Linked DNA regions of Struthio camelus. The protein of the gene in region 1 interacts with the protein of each later gene in a pairwise test. Links are inferred from orthologs where the notes say so. Each region holds a gene or a part of one and is shown in the gene's direction. Other genes may lie near its edges. The genes, in order: DZIP1 and PPP2R5A.

Region 1 (14,974 bases):
ACACAAGCAAAGGTAGCCGACCAGCCAGCAAACGTGTTTCGGGAAATGTCTTTTCCTTTCTTCTTCATAGTGCAAATATGACGTGCTCTTGGTTATCCCGGGAAAAGTAATCTTGTATGTGCCCAGTTTGTTGTTTCAAATTATCTGCTTTATATTATTGGATAAACCATTCATATGAGGGGCCTGTTATATAATATTACACCCCATCAATGTTAAAAAAAGAAAAAAATCTTGTTCTCATGAGAATTCCACCCAGCAAATAACAAACTTGGCGCTAGAAATCTTATGTGGTGACCACAGACGTTTCTTTTTTTACATTCTGAAGATATGGTCACGTTGCCCTTCTCACCCAAGCGGAGAAAATGTGCAAGGTTTGCAGGACAAGCTTTTCCTGAAAGATCAGACTAAACAAAGAAAACTGCACGTTATCCCTCTCGAACGTTTCGTTTGGAAGATGGTGCTTCAAAAGGATCACCCTGAAATTTCACCGGCAGGAGATATTCAGAGATAAGAACTTGAATAATGGAAGTGGTAGATGTGCAATGAATAATTGATGCCACTCTAAAGATGTCAGCGTGAGGCAGAACATGACAACTCTGTAGCATTATGGAGAGGACAAAATACGAAAGCCAAAAACTGAGCATGAGCAGAATGCGAGCACTGTTACAATAAATGAATTCCTATGGCTGTACCTCAGAAAAAGAGACGTATTACACCAAAGCCAGACAAAAGTGAATACAGTATAGCAATTCACACCTGCAACTCCCTCTCCCCCCAAATGACTGGAAACAATAGTAAGGATAGCAGTCTACTTAATGGAGACCTTTAATAACAAGATTAGGAGAGAACAATCTGGAATCTGAAGAAAACTCAAAGCAGTAGCTGATACTGGAGTACCAATCTGAACAGATTTCCAAGCATAAAAGTCCAAGCATCATATCCCTTAAAAAAAAGTAACAGTATTATGATAAAAGTGAGCCAATATTCTCAGTAGATGCTTAATAAGGAGTCAGTATTTATACTAATAAGGGAGGTCAGTATTTCAGTAGGCTGTAGTAGTATATAAAAACAGTGTGTAATGCCAACACTACAAAAGGACGTGCTCAAAGAGAAATCATTTTTCACTGTCCGTCTGTGTTAGAGAAGTCATCATACAGATGCCTGACCAGTAATTCCTGAAAGAGACCATGAACCATGACAGAACATTCTTGATGATCATAACGCCTAAAAGTGTAATTTAGAGATTAACTATAAGCCTGGGAGAAGAAAGTACGTTAACACATCTTCCCTTGTGCAATTTCAGAAGCAAACGAGATGCAGAAGACGAGAAAGACTTAAAAGAACAAATGATATGACGTGCCAACGTCATTTTTTAGAAGTAATCTGAGAAATAGCAAGCCGACACAGCTGTAATACAGTAAGTCTTTCAAAAGGATCAATAAAAATTTGGCAGACTGGGACCAGAAACAAGTTTCTTCAGCAGCCTTGAGTTTTGGAGTGGAAGCTGGGTTGATTGCAAAGACTACGCTAATGTTCAAAGTGGTCAAAGGAGGGAAAGCCAAGGAATTTTCTCCAACACGGTTACTGCTGGTAATACAGTAACAGCAGAGGGCATCAGTTAGCAAGGAATGACTTTTTAAGACACTCGTTGCTTCTAACAGGGATGGTGACCTGAATATGGTGACAGATGTGGATTTAGTTAAATCTGTAGGTTCTGTTTATTAACTGGGAAACCTACTCAAATGTAACTGTGGTGTGGTGAGAAATCCAGATTAGGTGTGAAAACACACAGGTACTGGGAAGGACCCCGCTAATTACCTGTGAGCTAGCATTCTTGGCAACACATCTTAGTTACTAATCTCTGTTCCAAAAAAAACCCCATCCATATCAATCAGTTTCCTGACACAGGAGAATAAGCAATATATCGGACTGTTATGTTACTTCCACAGTCCTGTATGAAAATACGGGAGGCGGTGAGACAGGACGATAACACAGAGTTACTATCCTCGGGGCTTCTTCTTGTGAGGGATCTCTCAGGCCTTACACCTTGTTTTTATCCATTCCCCTGTATGTGCATTGCTATCAGAAACGCAGCTGTGTTATTAAATTGGAGTGATGACCGAGCTAAATGGGATAGTAATGTACATCTCTGCTAGCAGGCATAGCATAGGGTTATTGTTTACATGGCCACATCTTTTGGAAGTTCCAAGATTTCCCATTTTGGGTGGCATTTGTAAGAGATGACTTTAGGGAAATTCCTTGTCCTGGGCTCTTTTTGCAATACATGGAAACAGAAAGGCTCCTACAGAATGCAGTTCAGCCCAAGAACTTAAGTACTGTAAATGTGCTCTTGGAGAAGCTTATGGACTTTAAAGAGTGTGAGGAATTAGTCTTCTTTAGGGTAAGGTTACCCTCTGTTAATGCTTTCCCCTTCATACTGTCCCAACAAAATTATACAAGTATATCTTAGTCCTAACTGTGATGGGAGAACCACTTTTCCAGTGTGGATTTAACCATCTGCGCTATGACCTTGAGTTTTGACACTACAAAAAGAGACTAACTGCTGTCTGTTGTTTATATCGCTATAAATAGGCTCTACCTAGGTCTTTTGCTCTCATTTCGGTTAAGCTTGCTATAATACAGGTCCTTCAGTCACTAAACTATATTACTATAGCTGATTATCAACAGGGCTATGTGTTGTGAGATATGTAGGACAGAAGTTGGAAGATGGGAATTAGACACCAATGTTTCATTTTCACAATTAAATTTATTTTAAATTTATTTTAATCAGTGAGATGTATACAATATCTGCAACTTTTCTTACCAGCCATGGCAGCAACAGCAAACTCCAGAAAATTCCAGAAACAACTCAAATTCAAACCTAATTCAAATTTGAAACAATTCAAGATGAAGTGAAACAGTATTTTTCAAGCATTTTGATTTAAAAGCCACGTCTGTTGATTTTGGGAGGGTGAAGGGGCTTGACAGAAAGCAAAATATTACATTTATTACAAAATCTCACCTCTTTTAAAATACGTATTTTCATTTTTGAAGATGTAGAGCATTTTAAAATGATACTCTGAAATCAGAAGTCAAAACTTTGCTTCAAACAGTAAAATATTTTGGTATTTCTGAAGTAAAGCATTCTATTTTGAAAATATATGAAATAGTTTAACATTCATGAACTCTTATTTTCGACTGAAACCCATTTATGAAATTCAGCCTATTTTCATAACTAGTTTTGAAACTGTTTGAAACTCTGCAACTGTTTTTTGGTTTGCCTAGTGTATTAAAAATAACTTTCCCAGCTGAAGTCCCAAAGCTGAAGTTTCAAATCTACATGATGACTCCAAGCTACTTAAGTGTTTCTCTTAATCGAACACGTCTCTTCAATTTTAAAAAAGGTGAAAAATATCAGTGACAAAGCACTACGTTATCAGTTAAGGCGTCCATTCCTACCTTATGTCCTGCCAAAACACCAAGGTCTGCAAAGTTCACGCTTCTGGGGATTTGGACTGCACGGTTAAAGTGTGTACGTGTGCAGCCTTACCTCTGCCTGCTCCAACGCACACCTCAGCGCTGCCAGCCTATGCCTGCTATCTTTGTATGCAGTGGCAGCTGCCTGCATCCCATGTAGAGTTATTCAACTCGTTCCCCGAGCGAATTTTTATATAAGCCATAGGCATGTGATGCCTTCTAACACTGTCCTGTATTTACCCATCTCTGAATTAACAGACTTCATTTATCCTCCGACTGCTAACAATCCAAAAGATGACAAAATTCGTGCGTTGCGCTGCTGACACAGCAACGATGGAAGGGTGAAAGGAGGCACCCGGGCTCTCTCAAAAGCACATACCCACAGGTCCAGCAGAGGAGATCGTCCACATACATTGCCCCTCCTAATAATCACACGTTTGCTCCAGCTAATCCTTTTTACCATTCAATATAGCAATCTATAGGTAAGTGTAACATAATGAATATAAATATAAATAAGAGCTTGAATGCTTACTGCAGAGTAGATAGTATGTCTAGTATTTCAGAGTTTTGCCGAGTCCAGGATTTTGAAAAGTTCTAACGGGCACTTTGGGCACGTCCTTAGATTTCTGAGTATCTAAATTGACAAAATTTGAAAAAAGAAAGGGGAAAGAGAGTAATATGTCCCCATGTATCCTTTTCAGCTGAGCGTCTAAGGCTGACAGGGGGTGGTTCTTTTTGCTTTTTCATACAGTTTGTTTCTCACCTATAAAAATGGTGAAGTGTCCCAGTCAGTGTAAAACTGTAACCTAGCTGGCTAGAAAAAGAGCAACAATCTAATGCATACCGTTAAAAATTCATCCAGAGGTTGCTAAGTGTTATAAACTAGGTCCCTGATTTATTTTTAGTGTTTATTGACCTGTTTATTGCTCCAATCATATCAACAATTTCTAAATACAAGTTAAGTTAAATACCATATAAGTCAGATGATGGGCAACAGTGGAAATCTGAGCTTGGCTGAGTAGAGGTCACTGAGTGAAACCTATGCACTGAAGCAGCGATATCCAACCTATCTTGAGGTGCAGACAGCCTGAAAGCAGTCCAAACGTGATTCTTGCTTTTGAGTTGTGTCCCAAGATCAGTGGCAGGGCTCGAGCATAGGCTGACTGATTAGCTATGGGAGGCAGTGAGCCAGACTGAAGTTGTACTTGATGCGCTTGATGTATCCCCAGAGGCTCCCAGCCAAATTCCCCTGCATATAAGAATGGCAGGGCCTGAGGGGAATCACAGTCTTTCTGCCGCCGGTCCCTGCCTGCAGCTTGCCCCCTCCTCGGCTCACGGAGGTAGGTATGGCCCTCAGACGCCCTTGGCCATAGGCATATTTTGACAGGACAAGAAAGGGGTTTGAAAGGTCAAAAAAGTACTCCTGGGCTAAAACTGTGGTGCACTTTCTGTTGTAAATACCTGTAATTCTCTTATTCTTCAGATACTGAAAAAGAAGTTAATGGGAAAGCAAAAAATCATCAGATATGAGACAGTGATTTCAGGCTACATCCACACAAACAAGAACAGAAAAAGCTTCATAATCCTGTTCTCAGCACGATTTTTGCGTTCACTGCAAATAAAAGAGGAAGCTATTACAGTAATACCTATGTGTAGATTAAATAAAACTCACAATCCATGTGTTTGCAGACATTTCTGAAGAGTTAAGTTTAATTCCCTCCATGTCTAGGAGAAAAGAAGATAAATGAATTGTATTGTTGATGCAGTGAAATCAGCTAGACTTGTTAGCTGAAGACAAACCCTTAGAAGAGACTGTTTTAGCTGAAGAAAAGAAGAAGATTTAGTTGGAGAAAGGTCTAAAGTACTCAAATTTGAAAATGAAATTTGTTAAACTTGTAGGGGTCACGGTCTCTTCAATCTATGATTAATCATAGCAGGTATTGTGTGTTGGAACTAAGAAGGAGGCGCAGGAATCTTTTTGCCGGAGGAGACTTGGGAGAGGTGCTCATCCTACCTTTCTTTGCAAACGCTTTATTATTCTCTGATAAAAATATGTATTTTAATAATTTTCTCCTGTAAAATAAGTGATGGAAAGATTGAAAGAATGAAATGACTGCAGGCATTAAAATGGAAAAATGTGCAGGAGAGGGAGCTGACAGGAAGGGAAAGACTAAATAAACTTAGAATCTGGCTAGATTCATTATTATACCTGTGGCATGTTAAGTCAACTTTTCACCAGAGTTAATGATTACTGGCGTGCGTCACTCTAAGATTAGTGCAAGAGAAAGATTACTGAAGGATCTATTTTTCAGTTCCCGAGAAAACTTTCTCACTGTCCTCTCAAATTAAAACATCTTGCAAAAAATGTGTTGCATACCCCTCCATTCTACAAAATGTGCAGATAATTCTTTCAGTTAATGCATTACAGATGCAAAAAATGCCTTCTGTCTGGCCCCTGGGGGTACCCCCAGCCCTGCCTGCCCACCCAGCCCCAGCCCCATCTCAGCCCAGCCCAGGACCGTCAGTCCCTGCCCCTGCCCAGCCATGGGCCCCCCGACACCCACCACAGCCTCGGCCCTGTCTCATCCCTGCGGCGGTGCCTGACGTTGCCCCGGGGCTGGGGCTGCTCCGGCTACCCCCGGTGCCCTGCTCCTTCGGGATGGGGGGACAGGCCCTAGCAGCCCCCACCAACACCTTCCCCTGGTACCCAAGACACTTCCCAAATGGACATTGCCCAGATATCATCATATTTTCCCCCCACAATCAGAATATTCTCCTTGCTTTGTGCTCTCCAGTTGCAGATACCCTCTGTAAGCCTCAGAAATACCCTGCTCCAATCGCAGAATCCTACGTTTACTGCTTGTACTTCAAGTCACTTATCCCATTTTGAGTCTGTAATTCTTAGCTTTCCTCACCAATTTCCCCAGCGAGAAACTTTCTACTTCCTGCAAACCTCATCTCTTCCCTTCTCCTTTTTACTGAACTGTTAAGAAAAAAACATACTCAGCATTGCACTGTGTCAACAGAGTATGGAAAATTCACCTAGGACAACAGATAATACAGAATGATTTCACAAAACCATAATGCAGATGAACTACCCCTAGAGAGCTCTGTTAACTACCCAGTCTATGTTGTTTGAAGAATTTGGATCACAAACTGGGAATGATTTTTACACAAACTATTCCCTGTAGTAGGCTGGCATGTGGGAAATAACACCCTGGTGAGCAACAGAGAGACATACTGGCTAGAATAGGAAAAACATGTAGAATAGCCAGGGTTTTCACACTTCATGAAAGAAGCTGGGAATAAAGCAATTAAAGGGGAAGAAGAAAAAGCTTAGGTTTAGGACTGTACAAAGTCTTAAAGCGCCTCAGCCTAAAGTTGAACTTCCCCAAATCCCCATTCAGCTATCATCTATTACTATAAAAGAAGGTTAGAAGCTACCTAGAGAAGCTAACATTTCACTATTTCCTAAACACCTGACATTCTGTGGCTGAAAATGCCCAAGTCTTCAAGAAATGAGCTGCTTCAAGTCTTTTTCAGTGCTTCATGGTGTGCACAGAGGCTACATCAACCGTCCGGTTGGGTATCAACTGAAACCTGTATTTCCAACCTTCTTAGCAGATGCAGATGTATTCCTGATCCCTGTCAGAGGCAGGGAGAGAAGAGGAGGAAGGAGGGGAAGTGGAGAGAGACAGCACAGCAGTGACTGCACCATGTAATGTGGGAATTTAGAACAGTTTGCCCCAGAAAAATTTTAGCAGGAATAAAGGGTTATGTGCATCATGCAGTGTATGTGCAATGAAAGGAAGAAACCTCAATCTTACCACGTAAGTACTGCACAGATGGCCAAAACATGCAGACTGAACGCACAGTAGGTCTGACACGTTCTGGACGTGCTGGATTTATGGTGATTGTACCCCACTATCTGCTTCTGCCTGAACAATAATCATCTGTCTGCTCTGACCTGATTGCAGGCTGCCCTAAACTTCCAGGTAATGTCCAAATGCACTGCCTCAAATCATGTGGATGGGGAAAGGCAGAAGGATGCTAAAACGCTCTTGGTCCTCTCCTAGTATATTCACGCCTGTTTTAGGAGAACACCTTCAACACCAAGCTATATGATATAAGGTGAGGAAGGAGGAACCAGGCACAAGCCTGGGGGTAAAGAACACTTATCTTGCCAGCTGAGGCTGTACCACTTGCAGCAAATAATTAAAGATTGATTGGACTTTGGCAAGAAGTAAAAGAATGAATGAGGCTTCATCTAGTAGGGTGACGCCTTATCCCCACAGAAGACAAGACTTGGTTCTAGCTGTTCTTTCAAGGGCTGCTTGTGTATTTTATATTAAACCGGTATTAGAGTAAGTGACTAAGATCCAAGTTTTCCTGTGCACTTCATACACACCTCCCGTCATCAAATGGCAAGAATCTTGAAAGTTTGTTCACGCAGCCAGCATTTATTGTTATATATAAAACAGCTTTGGCAAGAGAGCCTTGATATCCCCATCTTTCCTCTGCCAATGCCTGCTTTAGCAGTGAGTGTAACCCAAAGGGACCGATCTGTAGCAACAGTGAACTGCATTCCTGACTTCCACATTTTACAGGTATTCAGGTTTTACTTCAAGCTAGCTCTACGCTGATCCTATGGATTGAATGTCCATTAGTGGCTGGAGCTCACTGAGGTAGCCTCAGGACATTAAAAACTAAGGCATTCAAATCGCTACTTATTGTTAAAATCCTGTGTATGCAGCATGCGTGCTCACATCAACGCTATCTCGTAACAGAATTTCATGTTTCAGGAAGGAAGGACAGTGTCTTGGCTAGCCTCTGGGCATGCATACTAAGAACCAAAATTTTTCCAGAGCTTGCTGCCTATGTATTTTGTAAGAGAAAGTGTTGTCTCCCTGAACAAAAGGATCTTCTGAATGAAGATTAAATGTAGCCCAAAAAACATATGCAACAGTTATTTCCTCCACTGAATTTGCAACGGTACTTTATATTAAAATATAAAATACTTGAACTTGTCCTCCTTGCTACAAAGGCTGAAAAAGAATTAAATCTTGTTAATAGCCTTTATTTTGACAGGCACAATTTAAAATCTTACAGGGAAGAGGAAGAAAATTAGAAGGTTCTGAGGTAACCTGAAAGTAAATGTAGCTGTTACATAGATTCTACCTGTACGCTACAAAGTGTATTTGAATCCAGTTTCTCCATCAGAGCACGGTTCAGATATCACCAGGATACCACTGCCTGTGCTGTAAGAGGATGCTCTCACGGGAAGTCGGTGTCCTCTTACTTTGGGACACTTCAGGAAGACACTTAGGAAAGAACCCCCTCATCCATAAAAATTGAAATTACATTCCTTATAATCATCTTAAGTCTTCTGAGGTCTTCTCTCTAGACCCATGGACAGGAGTAATCCTGTCTCCGTGCATTACTTACATGGAACAGGTTACTGTGATTCCCCGTTGTGACGGGGGTGTCTTCTCCAACCGTGGCAAAGACTACCGTCCTCACAGAAGACTACACTGCATGACAAGCTTAAATGTATTAATGCTAGTGAAGAGATGATTAAAAAATGCCATTAATTACAAAAGACAACCTTCCAAAAGCTTCGGTAAAGTTGTTACGTATTTAAAAAAAAAAAAAAGCAGCTCCTAGCCAGAGAAATTTAGACGCCATGCCTGGGCTAGGATCAAGACAAAGAAAACCCAGGCTATGAGAAAACATCTGCCGAGCACTGTGGAGAGCTGAGGCGCCGGGCCCGCCTCCCGCGCTCCCCAGCGGCAGCGCGGGGCCGGGAGGGAGGGCGGCCGGGGGCTCGACCGGCGCCGCCGCTGCGCCTCGCCCTGCCGCCTCCCCCTAGAGGCGCGGGCCGGTATTATCGGCGGCGGCCGCCCCGCCTCGGCAAGCTGCTCCTGCCCCGACTCATCCTCGGCAGCCCGCGGGAAGCGGGCGGCGCGGGGGGGATGGGGAAGCGGGCGGCGGGGAGGAGGGGATGGAGGAGGCAGCGCGGAGCAGGGGGAGCTGTCTCCCCTCTGTGACACGCACCAGTAACCGGCCGGGTCGGGGGCGGGGAGCAGCCGCAGCCTTCGACACCCCTCAAGCGCCCGGCGACGGCGGCGCGGCGCAGCGCGGCGGGTCTGCGCCGCTGCCCTGCCCCCCCCCCACCCCCGCTCGCCCCCAACGGTCGCCGAGCAGCAGCGCGAGGTGAGTGGCGGGGCGGTGCGCGCGGGCCGGGCTCCTGTTGCGCCGGCCGCGGTTCTGCCCCCTCCCCCCCCCCCCCCACCAACCGCCGTCAACGGGGCCGCACGTGCCGGCCGCGCTGGAGCGCGCGAAGGGACTGTTGCTCTCTCCCCCCCCCCCCCCACCCCGCCGCGCGGGGATGCCGTTGGGGCGCGCGCCCCGCCGCGGGGGGAGGGGAGGGCTCGGCGGGGCCTCTCCTCAGGAGAAGGCGGGAGGGAGGGAAGGAGGCCGCTCTCTGAAGCGGAGGCGGAGGTTGTTTTTTGGCTGGGAGATGGAGGCCGAGGCAGGGCCTCCCGCAGGCCCGGCGCTGCCTGCGTCTGCCTGGGCTCGGCCGCCTCCCGCACCCCCCCCCCCGCTCGCCCTCCCTCCCGCCTGGCGGGATCTTCTCGCCCTGGCCCTGGCGAGACAGGCGAGCTAAAACGCCGCTTTTCCCCTGTTCCTCAGGGCGGCCGTGTTTGGGAGCGGGTAGGCGAGTATGCCTGCTGGCTGTGGGCCTCCGCTGCGCAAAAACACCGAATTAGGGCGCTCCTGCACCTCAGAAAGAGCGCGCTGAAGTCAGGTTTCAAAAACCGCTGTTGTGGGTGAGAGCCGAACTTCTGCATCAACATAGCTGGCTATGTTCCAAGTATGGAGCACATCTCAGCAGGCGTTACACCTCTAAACTAAAAAATTGATTCTTTGGGACTGGCGTTTTTGATCACTTTGTCTTCAGGGAATTCGGCTTAAAAAAAAAAGTGTTTTTTTCCCTATCGTTTTGATCCACCCCAGTATCCTTCCACTGCTGCCTCCCCTCTCTGCCTGAGTGATGTAAGGAAGCACCGTGGACAGATGCCGTAACAGCTTTTCTGTTTTCCTCCTCTGTCTTTAGTGATGCACCATTTCAACCTTACAATCAGTTGAAACAGATTTAATTAAAACAGTATGAAACTCTGCAAGGATATTCCCAACTAAATATGTCAGTTGAGGAAATTAAGCATGTTTATAAGTCCGGTTTAACTTTGCTGGTTTTAAGCAGCATTTTTTTAAAAACTTGTGCCTTTGTGAATTAAAATATTTCAGGCATTCTTTTTCAGTCGCCTTTTGCCTGATAAAGTGAAGAAAAATCCGTAATGTACAAAATTCACATTTTTCTGTGTATAGAAATTTCTGCTATGTATGTTAAAGGGCATGTGAAAGGCTCAGAGATCTTTGGGAGATTGATTTCATTGTGTATTACTTAATAGTTCCTTGACGAGGAAAAACATCCTAATTCACATTTTCCATGATGTTTGAAGGAATTCTAGGCATGAACATTTTGGACAGTTGCTATTTTTATTAAGCATTTGAGCATTTTTTTAAAATCTAACCAGTTTATAAATGCAAGTGTATATACACTGTGGATGAAATAGAGTCTACAGTATGCTTCCTTTCAGGAGAAGACTGCAGCGTTACAATGCAGTATTACAAATGCAGCACAGTGTGTCTGAGTTCAGATGAAAGATGAAAAGTGAGTGTATTTGCATATGCACAGGATGTCTGTGCACATAAATTCTATTTGTGCTGGATAATGGTGAGTTGAAAATCAGATCACAGAATTTCCTCATTTCTAGTTGTTTTGCGTCTTTCCTGGGATTGATACTGCATTTTGTTAAAATTTTGTTTATATAGCCGATCTGCAGGTATTTTTCTGAATTAAAAGAAGTCATGGCAAGTGATGGAAGATACTGGGGTATCTTCCTGGGGTATTACGTGAACTTTAGGTATTGCAGTAAAGTGTGGCTAGTAGACTTAAGGCTAAAGGTTCAAAAACATGCGTTATAGTGCCAAGTATTCTGGAAGATTGCCTTCTAGGGTGGCTCAAGTCAACCAACAGGAGGGCTCAGTATCCTTTGCTAATGTCACCAAACTAACTGTTCAAACTTCTAGTATCCTGAAGTTCATTTGGTAGATTAATGAAACTCCCTGCTGTGCCTAGGTACATTCTTCGAAAGACTGATCTTAAACTTTTGTACAGAAGTGGGGAAAATAGAAGGGTGTAACTCTTTATGTATGTGGACAAAGCAAGAGATACATTCTCCTGATTTTCCCTGGCTACGGAAAGAAAGGAATTTCCTTCAGCTTTCCCCGTGTGCATGGCTAGAAGTGAGTCTGCAGAATGAGAAGGGCTGGTAATATTTAGGTCCTTAAGTTGCTGAAGTGAGTCTAACCATTCCTGAGACGGATTTGGGTCTTTCTGATGTGAGATGTGGTAAGAGTTTTGATAGATATCTGAGGCTTAAAGGAAAAGACTCTGAGTCTCCATGACAGTCTATGCTGTGAAGCAGAGGTGTGCTGTACAGTGCCTGCAGCCGTGGTTGTAGGGTGCGTGTACTGGTCGCGCTGACTGCAAGGAAGACACCCCTGCTGCAGGCGTCCAGCCCAAGGCCCCAGTCCTCCCCCTCAGGGACCCATCTTCTTGAAGTCTGCTGTGTGCCTGGGTTTCCTTTATGAGGAAGGAGAAAGTGATGTTTTCTCGTTCACTGGCGTGGTGTCAGAACACAGCTAAAGTGCGTATGGAGACCAGAGCTTTATGGTGAGTACCACAGTGGGTACTGGTGGGTACCTTTGCCCCAAGGGTTGCCCCGACCATAGGGTGAATGTGGATACTGAACCTGTCTCTGCCGAGGTGAGGGGGATTAAATGAGCCCAAGTTTTTAGGGAGCTATGATATATTTTATTACATCAGCCCTTACAAATAAGAAAAACAAGCTTCTGGGCACAGCAAATAATCATAGTGAACTTGCAGAGCTACATAAAGCTAAGAGCTTTTCATTTGTGAGGGAAGCTCTCCTTACACTAGTGCGTATAACAACATTGGTGTTGTTTGCGTGGAAGAAGGTATGTATTGTGTGCTCACTGTGGTATATTACGGTTTGTATTGGAAGGACAACGTAAAATATGCAGAGGCGAGGTGAGGTTCATTGGGAGTTGTATGTGGAGTGTTTCTAGGAGATGACTGAAGGTGAGGAATCTTATACTGAGGGGGACCTGAGGGATGTGGAGAAACTGGAGTGGGCAGGAGGAGGGCTAACAAGATGGTTAGGGGTCTACAGCACGTGACCTTCAAAGAGAGGTTGAGGGAGCTCAGCTTGTTCAGTTTGGTGAAGAGGAGGCAAAGGGGCACTCTTTAATAGTAGCCTACAACTACCTGAGGATAGTTAGAAGCGTGTCAGAGCCAAATTTCTCTTGGTAGTAACAGAGAGTATAACAAGGGACAATGGCCACAAATTGCTACTAGATGGGATATTAGGAAAAATGTTTTCATCAGGAGGATGGTGCAGCCATCCAGCAGGTTGCCCAGAGAGGTCACGCACCATCCATTCTTAGGGGTTTTCAAGACTCAGCTGTACAAAAGCCACAGGTGACATGATCTAGTGTCAATGACAGTCCTGCTTCGAGCAGAAAATTGGACTAGATGGTCACTAGAGGCCCCTTACAACCAGCATTTCTATGAATATGTGATATAGTATATAGAGGAACCTGTGGAATGAGGTGTGTTATGAAGTATGTGTTGTGTGAATTCTCCTGGAGAAGTGTGCATATAGGAATGACTGGAGGGATGAAAAACTGAATTGTGTAGGGAAGGGGCTGAGAGGTGTAGGTGTAAACATGGAACATGGGTGATATGGCAGAGGTAGCATAGGGACCTGAAATACTAAGAAGTGGTATCAGGAAAAGAAGGTTTTGGAGAAGAGTATTAAGGATGAGTGAGGGAATAGGATAATGTTGTATGGTGGAGGGGAAGGATATTCGTGCCTCGGGACAATATTTGAAGCAACTGAAGGGGTACAAGGGAATGGGAATACCAAGCTGGAAAGTCCTGGAAATTGTGGTGAGTCAGGGAGATAGGCACCAATTGTTGGATGCCTTTGAAGGAAATGGAGCAGTGAAACTGGTGTCTATAGCATGAGGTGCTTTATGGGGATGAAGTGTTTGGGGATGTTGGAAATGAAGTAGGAATGACAGACAGGCAGATGTGATGAGAGAGCAGGGTTATGCAGTTATCGGAGACAGGCTAGTGCCTGGTAATACCTGGTAGAGGTGTGTTGGTGTGAGGAGAGCATGGGGAAGCATCATACCGAAGGTATATGAATGTGTTAGGATAAGAAGGTATGGGAAAGAAATGACGGAAGTACCAAATAGTGGTACTGATTGTGGGGAGGTGACAGAGGTATGTGGTAACTGATCTGGGATATGAATAGCTGAGGCTGGAGAAGGATATAAGATAGCATGTGGGTAGCAGAGTGTAATGTGGCAGAGTGAGACAGGTTTATGAGTCACAGGTGACAAGGAGGAGTGACAGAATAGCAGGTGGGGAGATGTATTGATGCAGTTAACTTAATTAGATCTATATAGTATCATGTATAGACTTTATTGATGAAATGAGATAAAGGGAATGTGGAGAAGTAAAGTATATGGTGTGTAGCCAGGGTAAGAGTCCGTACACAGCAGAGTATAGCTGAAGATGTATTTTTTGACGAGTAATGTGTGGAGACGCTAACAGATGTATTGGCACAGGTGTACGGAGTTAAGGCAGTAGGAGTACTGGAATGCGAGACAGGTTAGTTGGTACGATGATGCCTAGGGAATATGGAGAAACTGGGGGAAGGAGATACCAGGATAAGGAAATACGAAGGATTTGTATCCAAGGTGGGTGGGCGTATGCAGCACTGAGTACACATGCACGCAGGGAGGTCTGGAACCGGGGGCAAAGGGGCGACATCTCCGAAGCGCACAACAATGGCGAGCTCTTTGCACACTCCAGAATATTGCAGCTGCAGCAGTTGGGGGTGCAGTGGGGCCAGCAAGCATTGCCGAGCTGATCCTTTGGGGCCACGTTTTTTAGAGAGGAGAAACAAAGGTTGCATTGGCACGGTGGGGAGGAACATGTCTAATTCTGCCAAGGAAGGGGCTGTACTGAAGCCCTGAGGGTAGGGTGCATTTGAAGGGAGATGTTTAGGGAAGGGTGCGGCAGCAGGTGTGCTGGGTGAGAGGCCTGGCGAGTGGACTGAGGTGTTTGGGTGCAAAGCGGGGAGGCAGTGGGGATGTCTAAGCAGTAGGAGGTGGACAGATGCCTGGCAGGAAGGATGAAGTAGGGAGGAGCAGTGAGGAGGATGTGCAAAGCCCCTGAGCGGGGCATGCGTGAGTGCACGCAGGGTGAGCGGTGCCTGAGCTGAGCAGCTGCGGCGGTGCTGAGCCAGAGGGGCAGGGGAGGTGTGCGATGAGGACG
Region 2 (15,133 bases), on another chromosome or scaffold:
TTTTTGGAGAAGGGAAAAAGGGAACAAGATTCTGAGATATCCTTGCATGGGAGCACACGTATACCAAACAGTTTAGGATATTTTTCCTTTAAGGTCTGTTTTAACTAGTTAATCACCAAGAAAGAACCTAGGAAGGAATTACTGCAGGTGCTTGGCTATACTATAATCATTCTGCTAAGGTCTACTAAGAGAGAAAGAGCCTCTGAAATTTTTCCTTCCTTACAAGCTGGCAGCTTTCTAAGAGATAGAATGGAGTAGCATGTGTAGTCACTGCAGTCTGTTCTGATCCGTTGCTGGCTAATTAAGGCTTTAGCTAATTTAATTTTGAAAGATGATTTGAGTTAGAATCTGAAAATTCATGTTTAGCAATACAAACGAGAACTGAAAACACATGTTACTTAACTGAGAACGAAACAGCACTTGTTCAAATAGTCTTAATGCAGGCTGTAGGTGTCACTGACGGCAGTTAAATGTCAGTGCAGCAGCAATTTTGACTCAAAGCAGACTACAATCTTTTTAGAGTGTGAAATAACCTACTGGTAAACTCAGATGTTTGAAAAGGGACACAAAAAATGAGAAGGTTGAAGTAATAAGTGCTGGGATTGAGTGGAAAACCTTCAAAAAGCTTTCTCCTTTGTGAGGAACAAAAATCTCTGCCCTAGAAAATGTGCAAGAATTCAGTTTTGTTCTGGTTGAAGAAATGCAAATGCAAGTTTCTATTAGTTTTATTAGTAATGTGGAACATTTTTGCAAATGCCTTGAACTTAACGTCTGCGCTAAGAAATCAACGTAACGACAAGTTCTGCCACTGCCTCTTGGGCTCTTCCTGAAGGACGGAGAAGGAATGGTGGGACTGTGTGCAGGGAACTTGAACAATAAGGCTTCTTTGTGACGTAGCGTGGTCCAGGCCAGGAGAATATTAAAGATGTACTCTTCATTTACTTCATAAAGGCATTAAATCATCCAAGTGTTGTCCAATTCCCCAGTAAATAACAGATTTTGAAGAAATGCAATTGCATACCGTGGTGGTTTTGACAGTAAGGCTTGCTTGAGAAAAACCCATATCTGTCCGCTTACTTCCACCTCTCCAAGGGAGAAGAGGGTTGTAACTTCTGAATCTGGTGCTGTACTGAAGACAGGGTACCTTGTAACTGCATGGCAAAACCTACAAACTTTAGAGCATATACTGAATGATGTTCGGTATACAAATTACATCTTTTTCATGCTTTTCCATGGCTAGGTAAAGAGTAGTATGTGTGCAGCAAAATTTCAGGTTGGAGCCCATTATACTTCATGGAATTTTGATCAACTTATTTTATTCTGCTAAAAAAACGGTACGCATTATACCAATATGATTGGCTTATCTTTTAAGAATACCCAAACATGTTTAATATTCTTCACATCGGGCCACCTGTTTGCTTTCACGAAACTCTTTCTTGAAAGTGAAAATATAGCAATATTTTTCCTGCAATGTTTTACTTTCTGATTCTTAAATTGTAAAGCAATACTGCTATTTAGATTGCAAGGACAGCAGGAAGAATATTTACTCTGTTTAAATCTTCCTGTTCCGAAAACATGCTTTGTTTATTTAATTATAATATGTGGAAACATACTAGATACTAGGCTTTGTAAAACAGAATAAAAATTAAAGGAGCAAACTGGAGCTATGAACTGAAATTACCACAGCAGTGTCAAACTATAAAAGGCCAACATTTAGGGATAAAAACATACTATGTTGATAACTGGTAGTTCTGGACGGAATTCATCACTTCCAGAAATGGAAACGTTGTATACCATCTAATTACTCTCTCACTACATTAAGTTTTATTTTTCTCAAAAATCTTCATCTTTTTAGTCGATGTTGATCTAAGATGTTAGGAACGATTGCAGTCTACAGCAACAAGGGAAAAAATCAGTTGTTAAACACGTCTGACTCTTGGAGATAATTCAAATGGAAAAAAATCCAGGTCATTGGCCTTTTCAAATAGACCCCCGGCAATATTTACTCCTCCATAAATAGCACAGTCACATGAAATAAAACTGTGTTCAGTAAAGCCTGCAAAACAAAAGAACAATTTACAGACTGAAACGCAAACTGCAGCTCATGTGTTCAGTGGGTAGGATTAAGCGAGCTCGCTGCACGGTCTGTGCTTAGCGGCTGCGGTGGCAGATCCGCTGGGAGGAGAGTGCGCCAGGTCACCTAAGGTGCTGCCTCTGTCAGCTGCGGGGTCGAAACGCTGCGACTTTGCCCTAGACGGCGACCTGCGAGAGACAGCTTCGGCTATAATGCCAGATTGCCCTGTGGCAGAAACAAGCATGGCTTCCTTCACCGCCCTGACTAAGGGCACATCTACATAAGCAGGATTCACTGGCATTACTGTGTTGCTATAATTCAATGACTTATAGCTCTATTGCTATAGTAAAAGCAGTAAATTTCCCCCAGGTAGGCAAGTCCTAACATGAATGCATGTACTTCTGAAATCTTAATAAGACTGAGTAACTTCATTTCATCTGCTGGCCAAAATAATTTTTTATGGCTGCTACAGATAAAAGAACAAATGACTAAATTATTATAAACATTACCAAGATCCCTCACAGGCTTGCTTGAATGTCTTTTTTGTGTTTACCTACACTTCTGACTTCATCTCAAGTTCCACAGCATTTTTTTTCAAAGACCCAGATCTGGGAATCACGTTATTACATGAGAATCATAGCTCTCTCTTTTAAGTCTCTTTTGCAGCTCTCACATTTGAGAAAAGCCTGAAAACATGAAACAAAGGCACACCAAAGCTTCTTAACCTACACGACAAATCAAAAGAATCCACAAGTATGTATGACTTGGTTTCATTCATTAGCTGGGGAGGGGAAGGAATGATAATAATTATTCGGCATTTAGGACTCCTCCTGACTGGTAGCACTCATTCTGCTTTTGCAAAAAAGTTTCTAAAAAATGTCCGAGAAGCTGTAGTGGGGAACTGAGCATGGATACAAAGCAGAGGTTTGCAAACAATGGTTGTCAGGCCACTTGCTCATGGACCGCAAAGAACTGGCTGCACACAAGACTTGGCTCTTTGTTTCCAGTTGCTAAATCACAGTAGAGACAGATGAAAATATAAAAATAATTTTCTGCTATTATTTTCCAAGTAGGCAATTACTATTTCTGGCATGGGAACAGAATTACAATTTGAGATGCAAAACTAATTCCTTATAGGAAGTGTTCTACACTGTCGAAGCGTTCTGAAACGCTGGTACAGCAAACTCTTTCCGCCTTAGATTTACGGAGATTTAGCCATTCTCTTCATTTCTCTTTGTTACAGGCTATATATCTGCTTTATGTCTCTTGGCCATGTTTTGTACTTTTCTGGCTGCCACATTCATAAAGTTTCCAAGAGCAGCTGATTCTTAGCATGCAGTAATTCTTGTCAGCCTGCTGAGAACTTGACAGAATAAACCTTGCTGCTTGTTTGTTTAATTCCTTTCACTGAGCATTAAGAATTATTTCTGAAAAAACTCTAGCTTCCAGGTGTTCCCTTTTTAAATGCAAACATTTCATAACAGAAATAGTTCCTTTTTATTTTCTAAATGTGTTGAACAATCTTTGTAAGAGATTGTAAAGCTGAGGACAGTGCTAGTTGGCATTTTTGAAGGTCTGGTTTGCCACAGAGAAGCATTTAGAAAGTGGGATTTTGTGTGGTTTTTTTTTTTTTTTCATTTCAGCAAATAGAGGTGCCATTTGTTACCTTTAAAAATAGCAGTGAATCTACTCTTCCTGCTGCAAATCTTTCCCATTTTATATAGAAAATGCAAATAAATCTTCAGCACAAGGAACAGACTAATAAATATCTATCTATCTATCTATATATGTTCATGTTCTATAGATTTTTGCTAAGGGAATATCATTCTGACAAAGATGCTAACCAACTTTGAAAGCTTGGTTGTAAATGTACGCCCTAAAGGGACGCTTTGCATCTTACCGATCCAGATAGACTCCTGTTGAGGTCTCAGACATCACTGTTTCCACCAAAAAAGACAGTTCAATACACAAATAGAAGAAGTTAAATTAGGATACATTTTCACTGGATTATCAGTTATGATAATCAGTGGATGTGTGTATGTGCGCATACGTGTACAAACTTCTTAAATTTTTTATTTGCAACACAACCATGTTGGATTAGCTAACAGAAGATTGAATTAAAAAGTTTTAAAAATAAGAAGAAGAATCACATCTAGTTTTCACAATCCACTGCCTGCGCATACACAAGCGCATAGCTTTGCCTGGAAAGGCTGCAAGAATGTATTCATAGGTATGCTGAAGGAAGTCTAACTCAGAGCCCTCACAAGAGAAGGTCCTGCCAACTAATCTCTGACTTCCAATCCCACGATTTTAAATCCTGCTCTAGGAGGAAGATAACAGATGGTCTCTGAGATAAGTGATTCTACATTATTTAAGGATTTATCAAGCAAAAGATTTAGGAACACTTCTGCTAGATAGTGACTATCCAGTGCAGACATGCAGACATTTACACACTTTAACCTGAAATATGTGAATAACTAACTTGGTTTTAGTGGCAGGCACAGTTCAAGTGCTTAAACTTAATCCCAGGCATGCTTGAAAGAGTAGAGCCTTAGCACAGAAAGTATTTTAAGTTAGCTGAAAAAAATACCTAGAAAAACCGATGGAATGGTGCAGTAGTAAATACAAGCAGTGTTGTGACGCACAGGGATTTTCCTTTAAATTCTTCATTTTGAGAAGGATATCAAAAGGTTTTCATAACCTCTTTCCCCACAAACCTTCCTGGCTGAGGGTTCACCCACTTATGGCATCCTCTTTACTATTATATTCCTCCTACTGTCTCGGAGAACTAGATTTCTTGCAGCTTGACCTGACAGAAGAATGGGAAAGCAGAACTAGTTAACTCCTTATCTCCTGGCCACCAGACAATTCCCTGTCCTCTGTAGCAACCTGATCCATGAAGCCCCACGCTTCCAAGCCAAGTTTGTTAGAACTCTAAAAGTTAATGACACATCAAGTTCCCATTCATATTTTTGAAGGTCTCACTCCTGCAGGGAAGATGCTGAGAAGATGCTAAGAATATACAGGAAATAAGTCTCTATGATTTAACGAAAAGTATTGCAAACGTGACGTTTAGTGAAATCTCTTCTAGAATTTTGCTCCTCCATTTAGAATGATAATGATCATTACTTCCTAAACCTTTGACTTTTCTTCCAAGTAAAGTTAGACACATGCACAAAGTTTTGCAGGATCCATGCTTCAGTGTATATTGAAGGCTCTGATTTAAGAGTTGGAATAGCTTGCCATAAAATTACCGTTCACAACATTCTCTGTGGATATCTCAGACTTTTATGAATTAGATTTGGAGCCAGCAGCTTATAGCCTGGCATCGTGACCACGTGCCTTTAAATACACTCTAAAAACCATGAGGTTCAGAAGCTGACTCACAAGCAGCTCACAGCTGTGTAGGAAGCCGTGTGTGCAGCAAGCAGGGAAGGGCAATCTCTGGCTTTCTCAAATGTAGCTGCTTCAAATTGCCAGTCGGAGCTCTGTTTCCTTTTTTCTCCTAACATCCCAATCCCATAGACCTGTATGCTCAACTGACTTTATTCATTCATGTAATTCCACTGACCTCGTTCACTAATTCAAATATTACAAATTCAGTTTGTGAAATTAGAGCCGGTCCACGGAGCTGCTGCTGATTCTTTTTCAAAACAGAAGAGTTATAATAAAAAGACAAAGGAAAATTCGATAGCTAAAAATAGATTTGAGAGAATAAAATTGTTTCTTTTTGTTGGCTGACTCAGATTTCACTGATATTTCTTGTGTGAGTGATATAAAAAGATAAGGTCTGAAAATATTTTCAGGCGCAATCAATATGAAAATTCCATCTTTGCAAGATTACAGCTATTATTTACTTAGGTTTCTGCATCAGGAATTTCAACTGCCAATGGATTTTTACAACATTGTCTTATCAGCATGGCAGCCATTCCAAAGCCTAGTAACCTTGAAGAAAGTATTTTAAAGCTCAGAAAATGCTCTTATGTTACTTAGCATTTATATAATGCTTTTCCCTGACAGCTTTCAAAATATTGAATGGATGGAACTTTAAGATAGATTCCTTTACACTGAGAAGAGGCAGCAAGAGTTGAGTTGCCACTAAAGACTGTATCGGACACACTAGACAGTGTCACTTTCTAAAAATGGGTGTAGCAGAAAATGACAGCTGTTGGAGGGCAGGCAGGAATACACTGACACAGGGACTGGGCCTTAGTGGGCTCTGAACAGGAACTATGGTCTTTGAAGTGAGAGGTGAATTAACCAGGTAAGGAGTGCAAGAATTTCCTTTATTACAACAAATACACGAGCTTGCAGTTTAAAGTGCCTAAAGGTACCCATTTTGTTTGTAAAATGGATTTTGTAAAATATATTTATAAAAATACAAATGAAATAAAAAGTCTACCTACCTACAAGAAAGATAACAGCACACTGCAACTTATGCTTAGGGAAAAATAACTTATAGATATATTGGATAGTCTGGAATACTTAGAAAAAAAATTCTTAGACTACTCTCCACATTTTCTGAATACTAAAGATTAATTAAAAGCAAAAAAGATGAAGGTACACAAGTAATCATGCATTAAAAAGTAAGTAGAGATGGTGTTGCCATAAGAAAGAAAAAAGGAAAGACTGATAAAATGAAATAGTTCCTATAGAACAGGCTTATACAGTCTTAGTTTTCTATGTTCACACAAAGCCATAACCTACACTTGATTTTTGATTTACTGATCATACATCTGAAGTTTAAACTCCCACCTCATGAAAGTATTTAGGAAACATATACAGTTACTTCACAGTATTTACAACCTACCAAAGACATTCAGATCTGAGCACATATTTAAAATACCACAAATATTTATTTGCTGAATTGGTACCTAAAACTCTGCATTAAGAAGAAATGTGTTGATATGCACGAAACTAGTCTGTCATCTCTACCTGAACGACAAGCTAAGGCATCCCATATGTTTATGGTTCAAAAGTAGGGCTGTTTGGATATGGAAATGGGACCGGGTAAAAGTCATATTTTCATGTAGTCATATACTGCATCCTCAAGCATCATGCTTTTCATTTGGTGTAACAGTTACAAATCTTGTTTTCCATGGCTGAAATTCAACTGGAATTATATAAATTGTACGGAATTTTTACTTTTTGCGACATATTTGTAATTGAGACACTAGACCCAAATTCCATCCCCCAAAATGCTGCTATTCCATTTTTTTGTGCAGAAAGATAGAATTTCTCCTATTCCCGCCCCCCATTCTTCCATTTCATTCATACCCATGGTGTAAAAGCAACATCTCTTGCCACCCATGGGCCTACAAGATTTGGTATTCTTATTCTAAGCCACCAACAAAAAAAAGAATAAACATTCACACTTTGAAAGTTAAGCACGTGCTTGCTTCAGACAACCGTGTGTGCTGCAGCAGCCTCCAAAACGGCATTGTGACTCAGTAAACGCCATGGTAACCCAGATTCATAAAAGTCAAACACATGGGAGAGAAAAATGCGTGGTGTCAGGACAAGCAAAAAAAAAAAAAAAATAGAAGCACTCGGAAGATAGCTAAGGACAACGTCCCCCACACAAAACTCATTTAGTTGTAGCGTCACTCCAAGCACACAGCGGCCGTGGTTAAGCACGCTTTTAGCAGTTTTCTCAGTGGGGAGCGTCTCCAGTTACCACACGTGGCTGCTAACGGCCCGCTGAAAGGCTCGAGCATAACTGCCGTTTTCCCAGCAGCACCAGTAATTTCTGGCCAGCCCCAGCCCTGCCGGCCGGCCGGCCCGTGCCACCCGGGGGGCGCCGAGGCCGGGAGCCCTCGACCCCCGCCACCGCCGGGCTCAGAGGCCGGGAGGCGGCGAGGAGCCCGGCGCAACGCCATGGCGCCGGGCCGCGCCGGAGAGGCGCCCAGGAGGGCTCCGGCCCGGGGAACCTGGTCACGGCGGCGCCTCCTGACCCCGCGACGGCGAAGCCGAGCGGCAGCACTGAGGCGGCCCCAACCCGGGGAAAGGGTTTCGCCGCCCGCACGCGGGGCGCCGCGGTAACGGCTACTGCGGCGGGCGGGGCGGGGCGGGGCGGGGCGGGAGCCTCGCGCGCCCAACCGCCTCCCTCCCCGGCGCGAACGCCGGCCTTGGGACCGCCCCCTGGCGCGGATTGGCCGGGAACCGCCCCACCCCCCCACCTCCACCTCTCCCCTGCGTCAAAGATTAAAAACCCGCCCACCCCCCTTTCGGCCTCATCCGGTTGGAGAAGCCTCTTGTCAATCACTCCTTCCCCGGGAACTCGTCCCAGCTCTCGCGTTCTTCCCACCCCCGGCCCGCGAGGGGGGGTAGTGTGTGTGTGTGTGTGGGGGGGGGGTTCCATGGTGCCCTTTTCGCATTGGCTGCTCGGCGCTGCCAGTCATCGAACGCCGGCGCAACGGCCGCTCCTCCGTGCCTTTCTTGCCCCCTGGCGGGTAACCGCTGCCCCGCCCCTCTCCCCTCCCCCCCCCCACCGCCTTCCTCCCCGCCTCAACTCCACTCGCGCCGCCAAGTTGCGCGACCGCTGGCTCGGCGGCTCCGGGGCTCGGGCGGCGCGGCCGCGGCGGGCGGAGACACTCCTGGCGGAGCGGGAGGGGACAGGATGACGGCGGAGGCGCGGGGAGCTGCCGGCGGCGGTTGAAGGCGGAGAGAGGGCGTGTGGAAGCGAGCGATTTGGGGAGGAGGAGGAGGAGGAGGGGGGGGTGGAAACTGCCTCCCCGGTGGGCTCGGCCCAGCGGCGAGCGCGGCCGATGACAGCGGGCTCGGCGCGGGCTGGCGCAGGCGAGCCCGGCTGAGGGGGGCCCGGAGCGAGTGAGGCGGGAGGCGGGCAGCAGCGGCGCCGCCGAGCCCGGCCCGCCGCGGCTCTTGTTGCGCCTGCCCTGAGGAGAGCGGGAGCCCGGCACGCCACCCCCCCGCCCCGCTCACGGGAAAGTTTGGCGTGTGCCCGCCCCGCCGGGCAAAGTTGTTGCTGGGTTTGTTTGTTTGCTTTTTTTGTTTTTCCCTTCCCTCTTCTCCCCTCCCCGCCCGCCGCCTCCCCCGGAGCCGGCTCCGCGCGGAGAGGAAATTGGGAGGGAAGCAGGAACTGGGGAGCGAGGCAGCGGCCCGCATCCAGGAGGCTCCTCAGCGCCCGGCAGCGAGGGGCCAGCGCCGGGACGGCCGCTGCCCGAGGCGGCGCGGAAGCCTGCTTGCCGCTGGGACACCAGCCCTCTGCACCGCCTTTCGCCTTGGTGTGTGTGCGCGGGCCGGCTTGAGGGCAGGGAGCCTTTTTTTTTTTTTTCTCCCCCCTCTTTTTTTTTTTTCTTTCTTTTAAGCCCCTTTTTTGCCCGCCCGCTTTCTCCCTCCGCTTTAATATATGCTTGTGGAGAGCGACGTCCCGCCGCGCCGCCTCACCGCCCAGCCATGTCGGCGGCCATCTCTGCCGCGGAGAAAGTGGATGGCTTCACACGGAAATCGGTGCGCAAGGCTCAGAGGCAGAAGCGCTCGCAGGGCTCCTCGCAGTTCCGCAGCCAGAGCAGCCAGGTGGAGCTCTCGCCCCTGCCCCAGCTCAAAGGTACCGCTGCCCCTCTCCCCCCTCCGGCTAACAGGTGCCCCGGGGCCCCTCGCCTGCCCCACCGCCGCCTGCCGCGGCTCGTCCTCCGGCCCCGGCTGCGCCCTGCCGCCGGCCCTTGCGGCCGTCGTGCTCGGCGCGGACGGGCTTTCTGCCTCGGGCCGCGCTTCTCCGCGGGTAACGGAGCGTGCGGGTCGCTTCTCACCGCCGCGGGGCTTAACTGCGCTACCTGGCAGCCCCCTTCCTGGCTCTTTTAGGAGTAAGCGTTGGGAGGGCAGGTAGGCTTCCTGACGGCTTGTGCGCAACTGTAAACTCTCCCTTAAGCTGATAAATTTGAGTGTAGGAGTAGAGAGAATTGAGGATTAAAACCGTGGAGCAAGTGGTGGCTCCTCCCACGGGGGGGGTTTTGCAAAGAGGAACTCGGTGCCTGTGGCATAATATCTTGAGTTATCAGAGAGGGTTTGCCTTTGACTTGTTTGTGCTTTCCCATCACCTCTAGACAGTTCTTGAATGACTCTTTACTTGTCTTATTCTAACTATCAGGAATTGCCCCAAAGCCTCTCTCCTGCTTAGTGTGGTACAGGATCAGTCACACGCAGTGAATTAAGGTTTTTAGATGCTGGCCTCACTAAAACTCAAAGAAAATAGTGGACGCTTATCCTGTGTCCTGAAGCTAAAATCTGAATAGTCTATGTTTGTTAGAAGAGTACAAAAATGAAGTTAGTTGTAGCCTGTCACACCTTTAAACATCAAATTCAAGTTGTATATATTTCTTGTTGTTTTAAAAATTACAGAAATAGTTATTAGGTAGAGAATATAAGTTTGTTATTAAAATAAAGTGTTTGACAAGGACCTGAGAAAGACGGTGGAGGTGTTACCTTAACGTTACCCAAAATACTAAATTTCTTGATGCTACTGTTGATCTTAGGATTTTTGAAGCTGTATCATGTGATGATGGACAGCAATCTCAATTTGCATCAAAAATACAGAATTTAAATGCAATTTAGCCAGCTTAAAAATAGTTTTAGGTATCAAATAACTTTTTTTTTTGCTGCTTGTTTTCTTCTTACGGCTTTTATAGTCATGTTTATAATATTTCAAGGCTTTTTTACTCGAGTGGTAGATGTACACAGTAGACAGTGTAAATCATGAAACTGTTAGCAGAAATGTTATTAGAAGCAAATAAGCTAGGGCAGGAAGGTAACAAGGGAGTTGTGGGTTTTTTGTTTTGTTTTTGTTTTTTTCCTCTCCCATATCTGTTGCAGTAACTGTGGGTGTTCTTACTGCTTGGTTAGGATTTTCTTTTCTCTGTCAAGTTCTATCCTATCTTGGTAAGCTAGTGTAATTTGAGAAAACTAGAATAATTATTTTAATTCTTAACCAGAGTAATTTGTTTGAGATCAGAATTCAGTTTCTGCTCTTGGTATGGCTACGTTTCTGCATATCTTTAATAATGACTCTCATGCATACACTGTTTAGACAGTGTATATTGCTCTCAAATATGATTTTTATAACACTGCTTGCTACTAAGACCCTGTAGAAGCACTTGGTAAATATCATGAATAGGTGGCAGAATTCAGGGAGTTTTGGTCCTGATTCTGCAAGCAGTTAAGCATGCATACTTTATGCAAGAAATGACCCAGCTTAAATCAGTAAAATGTCCAACTTTACATTCTTTGCTGAGTTGGAACTTAATGTTAAAAATGTTTCACTCTGTACAGTTAAGTCTTAGAGTTTTGTGAGTGTATTTTTAAAGCTGTGTTCTTGTAGTATAGGAAATTCTGCATGGCATCAGCAGCTCAGACGTTTGGAAATTTGAGGCCATGAACAATCAGAGGAATGTTTTCAGTTATTCATAGTTTTATAGTAGTCTGAATTGCCTTAAATTCTTAATGGAAAATAACATCTGGCTTTGTGCTTATGGTTTAAATTTAAGACTCATACTCCAAATCTGCCTCAGAATATAAATTTTGAGCAAAATATAGAATTGTTTTTATGAGTTAGCAAAATGAAAAACCCACTGGTGACTGTCCCAATCAGCCAGTTATCAGAAAGTCAGGCAGCACACTTCTGCATATTTTCTCTCTTGGATTTGTGATGTTTGGATATACTGGGAATTTGAATTGTCCTGAACATGGCTACATATGATCTTTTGATGCTATAAGATGATTGTAGTGTATGATGTTTTTCTCCCGTTCTTCATGACACTTCCTCTCCTTTTTTTCCTCTTAAACATCCCCGCTCACCCCCCCCCCCCAAAACAAGAGCGCTTCTAGAAATAAAGTATTTGTTCTGTTCACATGTGTCTTGGGAAAATGAAGCTTTACTTTATTACTGAACTCTACATTTACTTCAAAGAATAGCTGTGATGCTGCTAGTATAGTGTCATCTATAGAGTAACAGCCAGCATTCGCAGGGAGCGGCTGAAAAAGGAAAGTATAGTCATTATATGAATGCCTAAGGATATTCAGCATGCATTTCTGACTTTAGATTAACACTCTCTGCTTTTTCGGATAAATGGTGAAATGCAGATGTTTGAAGCCTTTATTGGGAGAAGTTTTGTAGGTGAAAAACATTATACTGCTGTAAAATATTTCATTTTTTCTATAGTTACTGTCTTGTTTCGTTGTTTCAGAGAAAATAAAGTATTCTAAAACTGCCAGGCAGGTTTGTCAGATTGGCCCAAAATACTTGCACATTGTTGTACTGGAAGGAGAGATCTTATGAAAGAAGAACTAATCATTTACTTCTAACAAATACCTTACTGGGTGGATCGTTTATTTTTTCTTTTATCTAGAGAATGTTGTTTATTTGTCACTAAAATGGCCAAATCAGATTGTGTAACATACTTGCCCAAGTTTTAAGTAGTGTTGTTTGAAAGCCTGTAGATAGATAATATTGTTAAAAGTATGTTATTTTTGGTGTATTGCTGTTGCATATTACCGAAATTCCCCAATTTAGCTGCATGATATGCCACCACTAGGAGAAAACACTTATCTGTGACTAGTAATCACTGTCCCAAATAGTATTGTAACTTCAGAGATTTGGAGGGGCAGAATTGTGTGACTCACTAAGATTCAACTTATTTTTGTGTGTGGTGTAGTATTGTGTGTCAGTTCTGGATAAAAGCTCAGCAAAGCCTAGCTGATGTCAGGCTAGGTAAATTAGTAATGTGTTCTTCAGTTAAGTTAACAGGTTTCCTATGTGTTTGTTATTCAGGACAGTGTCCATTTTACTGTATTATTTAAAAGCTAAATAAGAAATACTGAGGACCCAGTGACTATTACAAAAAAAAAAAAAAAACCCCAAAACTTACTAAAGCTGTAGCAGGTTGTGTGGTTTGGAGTTTTGGGGGTTTGATTTTTTTTTTTTTTTTTTTTTAACTTTATAGCTTACAAATCCTTTGAATACATACAGCCAAAAAAATGTACTAGTTAACAGCAGGATTTTGTTATTTAGTGGACAATCCTGACACTGTTGGATTTAAAGAAATCTGGCAAAGGAAGTATTATTTCAACATCTTAAGAATTGGTAACTGTGTCTTAATAATTTAGTAAATCATTTTAAATGACTGTGGTAACATACACAGTTAGCTTCATTTTTTGAAAGCAGCTTGGTCTGGAAATCAGATATGAACTCATTATGATAAAAGTATACATACATGTTTCCCTGGTTTTGTGTGTGTTTTTTTTAATAAAGGAGTTGAAAAAGTGTGTAAGAAATATAGGTGGAAAATGGTGAATAGAAGTGAAGAAAGAAAAATCCTTGATTCAACCATGCAGCTTATTGGTTTTTATTTAGTACAATTAATATGGTCTGTTTGTTTGTGAAGCAAATATACCTTTTTCCTCTGTACCAAACATGTCAAGCATCACTGGAAGGAATAAAGCATTTCCTGACATTTCTTTGTGATCTTCTCAGGACTGAAAATCCTTTTGGGATGAGATGGGTCACCCCAGACTTATGTCCATACACAGAGAGCAAAACTAATGAAAGAAATTCTTGCTGTTCACTTCCGAATTGAACTGTCTTCCTATGGAGAACACTCAGGCCCTTACAGCTGAAGAACTGGAAATTGGTCCGAAAATCCCATAGGCTAGGAAGAGTTATAAGAATCTCCATGGGATGGAGGATTATGGTGGGAATGGTGAAGGATACTGGAATAAGATGCTTATAAGGCAACTTCCTAGTAGGCAGTTTGGACATCCAAATAAGGGGGCCACAGTGAATGTTAACAATGCTGTTATCTCTCCTCAGCCATTGAGAGAGAGAGAGAGAGCTTGGACTTAACTGGAAACTAGGTGCAGTGTTCAGGCTAGGCTTTTGTGGAAGCATTACAGGAAGGCCCAATAAACTTGACTAAAGGTTTAAATTTAAACATTACTTAAATTCATCAGAGATAGTTCAAGCCTTAAACTTCTGATGTTTTGAGTCATACACTGTATATTTCAGAGTAATAAAAATAAATGGAGTTTAAAAGAGCTTAGGGGATTTTATTCTCATACTAACATTAACTTGCCTTTGCTCACAAAAGGAAAACATCCTTCAAAAATTTTAGAATGGTTTACTTTTACTAAAGCCTTCATAAATATTTGTAAGTGAAGTGACAGATCTATGTCTCTGAAGTTTCCATTGATTTCTTGTAGTTCCTTATCCTCTACCTTTTGTATTCAATATCACTTGCAGCTATAATCTTCCTAGGTAATATTTTTCTTTAAAAGACAATTTTTTTTTCTCAGATGAAGAATGAGTGCATTCTGTAAATAATTGTGGTTTAATTGTTATGTATAATCTCAACAGAGTACACAGTTAATATAGTCAAAATCTCTGTCTAGTGAGGTTACAGTTTTGAAAAATAGAGAAGTTGTAATAGCTAGAGAAGATTTAAGAATTTTTTAATCATTATAATATAATTCTATGGAAAATGAACCGTTTAATTTTTTCTGTATTAAGGAACTGTTCTCAGTTTATGGAGTGGAACATTTGGTCTTTAATTCTTAAAGAATTGACCTTTCTTATCCTTAGACTTGAATTTTTGGTCTTAGAATATACTTCCATCAAGAGCAATTCCTAAATATAGAATCTATTGACAGTCTTCACATGAACTTTTCTATTTAAATCTTTCACATCTTCTGTGTGCCAGCTTAGTATCAGATTTCTTTTTTTCCATATTCGTAGCTTTCTAGTTTGGTCAGATATTAGTTTTGCAGGTGCTGAATTTAATGTTAGTTGCTGTAAGAAATATGAATGTGATTACTTACTGCTCCAGGCTATCTGATCAAAATAACGTTACATCGATCTACAACATTCTTTTTAATATCTGTCTATCTTAAAATCTTTCTGCGCTTTTGAAAAGGTGCTGCACCAACAGTTCTGTACTGTTGCAAGCAAGAGTTATCTAAGTATAGAAGGGATGTGTGTTTTCTTTGTTTGGAAAGACAAATACCCCATCATTTCCATTGGGAAGGGCATAAAATTCAGCTTCTCTGCCAACG

The links.
Region 2: the proteins of DZIP1 (region 1) and PPP2R5A interact in binary tests that used the Homo sapiens proteins (3 or more experiments, as listed by UniProt). The link is inferred for Struthio camelus from reciprocal best matches to the Homo sapiens genes DZIP1 and PPP2R5A.

Annotation. Positions count from the first base shown.
Region 1 is NC_090942.1:166,184,165-166,199,138, forward strand, and holds the start of DZIP1 (cilium assembly protein DZIP1), read left to right. Parts: upstream 1-9,440; 5' UTR 9,441-9,690; intron 9,691-10,137; exon of another isoform or gene 10,138-11,212; intron 11,213-14,974. UniProt on the Homo sapiens protein: Molecular adapter that recruits protein complexes required for cilium assembly and function to the cilium basal body.
Region 2 is NC_090944.1:114,065,385-114,080,517, forward strand, and holds the start of PPP2R5A (serine/threonine-protein phosphatase 2A 56 kDa regulatory subunit alpha isoform), read left to right. Parts: upstream 1-8,583; 5' UTR 8,584-9,490; coding exon 9,491-9,641; intron 9,642-15,133. UniProt on the Homo sapiens protein: The B regulatory subunit might modulate substrate selectivity and catalytic activity, and might also direct the localization of the catalytic enzyme to a particular subcellular compartment.